Schizosaccharomyces pombe: one gene and its partner. Changing the gene in region 2 together with the main gene of any one other region gives a genetic interaction. Each region holds a gene or a part of one and is shown on either strand. Other genes may lie near its edges.

Region 1 (3,761 bases), 3.5 Mb from region 2:
AAATGTCTTTCTTTATGATTTTTTCTCCAATGACCCTACCTTGTTATTTTAGTCTGAACGGTCGAGCACCGCTACATGCTTAAGTTCATTGATATGTCTAATCAATTATGGTAAGCATAACTGCCAGCTACTCAACTAGAGAGCTGCCGAAGAAGAAGTAGTTCAATAATAAAAGGGTTCGACCTCTGATCTGTGCCATATAAATTTAGCAACAAATTTGAAAAGGTTAAACCCAATATACTAAAACGAGAACACAACAGATATCATTTACATAACTCGTGATTGTATCAAAGAAATCATAATTCAATCAAACTTCGATATCAATCGTAGATCCATGGGTAAGGCATAAACGAAATAATCTTAAATGGAAGAGATATTTGCAGGATATGTGCTTTTATGAAAAGCGCAGCATATTATGTAGGAACATCTCGTGGTAAGACTGGGATAATGCTTTGAAAAGATGAAAATAATAATACCGTAAAAACTTTCGACTAGTGAAAATTTTTTTAAATGATTTGTGAGAGTCTCTGAGTTTCTATTCATTCACTTAACAATACCATCAACGTTCTTCCTATCAATTTCCCCAGTTGCTCGTTTCCCTCTTCCCCTCATTTCCCACAAAAATTTATTATCCCTTCCAATGCTATCATCCGCTTTTTCCTACTACTTACTCCTCAATATCCTTATGTGAGAGAATTCCCTACCGAACTTCATTTTTATTTACCGAATGCAGCTGTAATACCCTTTCAGGTTTACGTACTTCCGCTTTCGTTAGCACCAATCGTTAAATTCGCGTGGGAGAATTTTGCTTCGTTAAGGTACTCAGAGTTTTAACGTTTTTCGCTAAATCTACTTTTAGTGTAAGGAAATGATGGCTTTTGTTAGCTTATTTTCTAAGCTAGAAGGTCTGTTTATTACTTAAGTAATAAAAACGAAATTAATGATTTGTCAACTAACGATGCATCCCCAATACTTAGCAGATTAGAATGCGGTAGTTAATTATCATCGTGCTGTTAACAAATCTTTTCAGATGCACATTTGTACTCATCCAATAAACAGATGCGGGAGAGACTTCAACAATGAAGTAAAGCTTTTTTTCCCATTGATATATAGCATTGTATCCTTTTTGTTTCAAACTTGTCGAAATTTAGTGCATCAGTGTTGTGCTTGGCTTTCCAACTGAACTCTTTTACAGGCCTACGCACAAAAAAACTGGTTTGAAATGAAATGAAAATTAAGAAGAGCTTAGTTACTTGTAAGTAAATAAATGGATTAACAATTGTTTTTCGTATTCAGCGCTAAATAGAAAAGTAAACATAACTACTTAAAATTTTCTTGCTATGATGGTTACCATTTCCTACTAATACTTAGTTAAGTGGTTGGAAGTAAAATCTACCTCATCACCCGTTTACTTATCCCTGAATTATGTGGTGATACAGATAGACGTAGTGTTGCAGTGATCATAAAATTTATGGTACAAAGACTAAATTTACGTCCAAAATGAACTACAGCCTTTACTTGAGTTTTACATTTTTTTAATAATATATACATTACGCTCTTAAGGATATTTAATAAGTGAAGTAACTAGTTGTTCGGGATGGCCAAATCGATGATAGTCTTAAACTCAACATACCTTTTTGTTTTTACACCTATAGAAGATTTCACTGGTATTGTGATATGCTTCACGAATGTATACTGAACTTGTCTGGAATATGCTTTGGGGAGCCATCTCCTTTCCCATCCCTTAATATGTGTTTTTCCCAAAAGCGACCAGACACCAATTTTACAACATGTTCGTGTTCATGGTATTTCGATATTTGCTGCTTTTGTGAACTCGAATAACGTATTTAATCCAGCAAAGATAACCTCAGCGTATCGTGATAAATTTTTGATATCATAAAAATTCAAGTATATAAAGTCGTTGATTTTTGAAAATCCTTTCACACTCTTCGCGCAATAGAGGTGACTAAAAGTTTAGAACAAACTGACAGTTACGGACAATGAATTCGTTAAAGTCACTTTGCCTTAAATGTATTGTGACATTGTGTTTGTTGGTAAACGCTTTCGCGTTTGACTATGCATCACTACAAGAGCAGGACGAAAACCTATTAGCTGCCTGCCCTCAATATATTACAATTTATACTAATGGCCCAGTCCCTGGAACCACAACGATATATCCAACTTCCAATGTTGCATCTAACACATCTGAAAATTATCCTTATACGGGATCAAAATCTTTAAGTAGTTCATCTATTCTTTCTAATTCAACTATTTCTACTAGTTCATCTACCCCGATCACAGCTTCTGTTCCCACCAGCTCATCTATTCTCTCTAATTCAACTATCCCTACCACTTCACCGGTGCCGACAACTTCTTCCACCCCGACTAGTTCATCTATTCTTTCTAATTCAACTATCCCATCAAGTTCCTCAATTTCTGCCAGTACCATTACAACCACTATCATTTCTGGTTCAACGCAATTTACCACTACGTTTGTTGATCAAAGTATTGACACTGTTGAAGTGGTAATTCCGACTGCTGGTTATATTACGACTACGTTGACTTCTGGATCTAGTTACCCTGTCTCAACAACCACATTACAAACAGTTTCTGGAACTCAGTCAGGTTTAGTGGAGGTTATCACACCGTCTTGTGGATGCAATCCAGAGAACTCATTTCACTTGAGACTCGTGGGTGATTCAATCAATCCTTCATATGTTTATAAGAATACTAATGTGTCCGATCCAGACGAAGGTAACATGTACACATCTACTGAGGGAAACACCGAAGCAGTTAATGTTTTTTATTATGATCCTACTGTCGAAAGAATATTAACTTGTGATTGCGTACGACCTGTATATACGATATACACTGATGATCCAGATTCATCCTTTGACATTATCAAAAATAATAACGGAACCTTCACTTTTGTAGAGAGTTCTTCAGGGGAAATTCAGACTTTACACGTTAGCCAATATGGAGCATTATGGATCACATCTCCTGAATATGATGGAGAGACAGGTGGTATGGATGATGTAGGTTTTAGGGCGGACGATGTTATTCTCGTGGCCTATTGACTTTAAGGATTTATCCCATCTTTTACTGGACTTTAAAGTCCTTGTAAATAAATTTAATATATAATTTTGAATTGAAAAATCATACTATTGCTAACGAGAAGTCAATTTATTTAACAAATTTATGAGAATTCTGACTTGAACTTTTTGCACTAATTTACTTTGTCCGTGCCTTCTTCATTTGTCAATGTTAATTCCGATCTTTGTTGATACATAAAACCTTTTTATGAGCGAAAAAAATAATTTTACATTTTTCATAAATAAAAACCCCAAAATGTTTAGTTCGCAATTCTGTTCGCAGCAAAGTTAAATGCTTACGGACTTATTTATTTAATTATATAAAATAAATTTCAAATTTCCAAATTGATTTAAATTGCGGTTTATATTTGTTGAACATGTAAAATATGGCAAAAGTTGGAGAAGTAATAATTAATTTTTAAATTTATAAAACCCTTCCAATTTTCGGATGCTTTAACTTTCTTCTGAATATCAAAGTCTGGCAACCGAAAGAGAAAAAATGTATTTTTGTTAATTTTTCATTACTGATCAAAATTTTTTGTCGGATAATAAGCTGTTAAGTAGTTTATTCGACAGAAGAACACATTTTCATGGCAATGGTTCTTTATTTTTAGCAAGTCAACAAAATATTCTTACTTAATATATGTTCAAGCATAATCTGAATTCTAT
Region 2 (3,761 bases):
ATTACTCATAAGCTACCTCTCTGGTTATTTTTTCCCAATGTACTGTATTCGTATTGTACCCCATTCTTACCGGATACATTTATTAATAGAGCAAGTTACGAAAAGCAAAATCAGAGCGAGTCTATTTTCGGACTTGTGTGTCTAAGTATAGTCAAGGAGCGGAGACAACACTCGTAATATTGTTCCTTCACGCCCTCCTCCCCCTTTCCCCTTTGAATTGAGTATCGTACACTGCATCAGTAATAGGGTCAGCGTTTCCAATTGACTGACTGGTTGAAAAGTGAAGGATTACATACGAAAATCCCTAAACGCGATCATCAGCGCATTCCGAATTTTCGTATCTTTCTATCTCTTCGATTCTTTCTTTAGCCTTGCCAAGTATTTTGGCTGGCCCATACGCTTTGCCTGACTATCGCGTCTAAAAATAAAATCCCCTTTCCAAAACCTTGGATTAGGTGCATGGGATTACTATGATTCTTTCCTAATAATTGCTAATCCCGCTTTCTTTCTATTTTTTTCTACTATTACTGCAAAGTCAGGTTTGCAATCCAAGTGGACTTTAACCATACTCAAAAGGTACCTTCTAACCTTCTTTCCATTATGTCCATCTTCCTCCTCCAATTAAAGGATTTTCCTACTTAGGGCTCATTTAATCGAGGCTATCCCACCTTTTTCATGAAAAAGTATTCGGCCTTGTGACCTCCCCTTTTCGAAAAGAGAGATGAAGAAATAGTTTAAATTACCCGAGTAGCCGAAACGGTGAATTTTCAGAATGTCTACATGAGGAACATAATGTACACTTATACGCGTTTGTATATTGAGAATTCATCGGTAATGTTGGCAAAGTGCTACGCATCTTCGGATAAACGTGAATGGAAGACATTTAGCCCCTAATTTTGGTGTACTTATGCAGGAAAAACCTATCCCTTAACAATTGCCTATGGAGGGAAAGAGAAAATTTTTTTCGTTCACTATTGGAATTTATTTTCTTTTGCATAAATATGTACAATGGTATGTTACGATGCTGGCGTCGATACTTGTCTAAGTTAGAACGCAGTGTGTATTACGAAGGTTGCATTAAATAGACGTTGCGGTTTCCTAGTTATTGCTATCCCTGTATATATATACACATATATATGTACAAAAACACGTATTTACACGCACTTATAAACGCACACAGACAACAAACAAATACCTAATTTTATAATTTCAAGTTGTTGAGACAGATTAATTTATTTATAAAACTTGGCGAGAAGATATTTTTAAACCTGACATTGAAAAGGAGGGGACAATTGTTAAAAATATAGCTTCAAAGGCAAAAATTTCTCCAAAGTGTTGATTCTTCCTCTTTCTATTTTAAAAATAGCACACAAAAACATCTAGTCATTTAATTTGTCTTTGTTCCTCTCATTTGTAAACACTTGAAAACCACCCGTTCCGGCTATCTTGTTTACTAAAAAAATTTTTTCTATTAATATCTTTAGTTTCGTCGCCCGCTTCAACCCAGAGTACAAAAACAAAAATAGCTTCCTCGTTTTTAAATCTCAACTTAGATTCGTCTAATCGACTATCAATTACGAGCACAATTGGAGAACTTTGCGCTCTTGTTTTCTCAAGCGAAAAATCTACCCTCAAGAGATCCGGTGCAGAGAAGGGAAGACAGGGATAAAAACTGTTACATAAATTCCAAGAATAAACCCCATCTGCTGTTTTCTATTTGTTCCTTATATACTTGCCCGTTTGCTCGCTCGTTTGCTCGTTTGTTTTCGTCATTCTCCCTATACCTGAATTTTGGTTAACCTCGTCGACTCTTTTTCTCTTTTCTCGTCAAACCTTACTAAATATATACAACGTCTAATATGGGGCGCAAAAAAATCTCCATTGCACCCATAACCGACGATCGTTCAAGGAGCGTAACTTTTGTCAAACGAAAACAAGGTCTCTACAAAAAGGCGTATGAACTCGCTGTGCTAGCCGATTGTGAAGTCGCCGTCACAGTCATTGATCGGAAAGGACGTTTGCACGTCTTTTGTTCCTCTGACTATCAACGTACTCTTCAACAACTCAACACTCTCAGCATATATGAGTTAAAAAACCGTTCTCATTTTTCGTCATCGCCTGTCGAAGAGTCAAGTACCGTGTCTCCAGAAACGACAACTGGTTCATTTACTCCTCTTAATAATAAGCATTTGAAGTCACAGGACCAACCTTTATCAGACTCCCAACTCGACACTGGTGATTCTCCTGCAACATCGGAAACGACTGTTCAGGACTATAATCCTCAAGTTCAGTCTTACTGTCGTCCCGAGCCTTTATCGTCTAATCACGTTCGTTCTTGTCCTCCATTTCCTCCCACACAACATCATCATCCCCATACTCGTCCTCCTCATCATCCACCTCATCCTCATTTTCATAACAATAACTATCCACCGCCCTATTGTTTCCAATCTCCTGTGTCTCCGGGTGCTACAGTTCCATTGCAACATCATTCTCCGTACCCTAGTGATAACGGCTTTCCTGGTCATCGTAGGCAAACGCACTTCGCTCCTTACTACTATCCACAAAGAGCTACGTCTCCTTCTTTGAAACAAGTTCCAACTTATCTGGGTACTCATGTACTGCAACAAGACCAGTCCACCTATGATCAGAAGGTCCTTATGCCTCCAGCAAGTTATCTTTCTTCACCTAATCAATACACCTTAAAAAATGTCTCTCCTGGTAACCCGGCTTGCCCTCCTTTTCTCTATGAACATCCAAATCCACAGCTAACGCCTGAGATGTTTGATGTTAAACAAGGCTCACCTATTCCGCCTACTGCGTATTCGGGTAGCAGTTGTGAGACTTCTCAACATACCATTGCGAATACTCCATTTTTGGCATATGATCGCTCTCCTTCCTTAACGAATCAAGAAGCTGAATCATCCTTCCAAGACGTAGCTTCCATTAGTCCACATTCACTCAGTGATGTCAAATACTAAAGAATATCATAGAAGTCAATCTCCCTTTCAAATGTCTTCATCATGTGTCCTCCCTGGATCTAATGAATCGTATACAAGTAATAATTTTAGTTGGCATACATCTCGATCAAATCCTTACAATCGTTTTCTTACTCAAACTGCATATGATTTGGAGCAATCCAAGCACCAATAGTTTACTGCCAAGCTGTGCGATGCCCATTTTTTTAATTTGACTTACATCGCATTCCAGTAAACAATTGTTAATACTAGGTCTATCAATTTATCGTTATAGTTGAATTACGCGAACGAAATTACTGACCTAGCAATAATTGAAGTTTGGAATGTTGTTCAATAAAATGGACACCTACCGATAGCTTATGGATTCAATGTGAACTACAAACCTAGCATGATTTCAGACGCTAGCAAATACAAATACCTGAACATTTCAGATGTGCCAATGGTTTAACTTTGTTAACTTCCATCTTCGGTATTTTGGATCCTCCCTGTTATGAATTCAAGATGGTGATTTTCGGTTTAAATATTTATTTGCAAACTGCGGGCAGTTTATCACTTATTTATTCAGGCACGCATTTTGTCTATTCAAGTGGACTAAGTTTTTTCGTGATTTTGTTTTAACCACCTCCTTCCACTTCATTAATTAATTCACCAACATGTAACATTCGCGGACCAACCTTTATGTTCGCATTCAAATTTTTTTTTGGAGCCGCTAATTTCTAATTAGACGTTTCTCATTCGTTTTCAAGGTTATACATGGTTTATTTTCGTGTGTTTGACTCGATTTTT

What was found.
Region 1: of mbx2 (region 2) and pfl7, changing one suppresses a phenotype caused by changing the other (phenotypic suppression), as found in Schizosaccharomyces pombe (one study listed by BioGRID).

Annotation. Positions count from the first base shown.
Region 1 is NC_003423.3:117,568-121,328, reverse strand, and holds pfl7 (DIPSY family glycoprotein Pfl7), read left to right. Parts: upstream 1-2,000; coding exon 2,001-3,077; 3' UTR 3,078-3,437; downstream 3,438-3,761.
Region 2 is NC_003423.3:3,624,780-3,628,540, forward strand, and holds the start of mbx2 (MADS-box transcription factor), read left to right. Parts: upstream 1-1,859; coding exon 1,860-2,978; 3' UTR 2,979-3,761. UniProt on the Schizosaccharomyces pombe protein: Acts in transcription regulation. May bind to a MEF2-like typee II promoter sequence.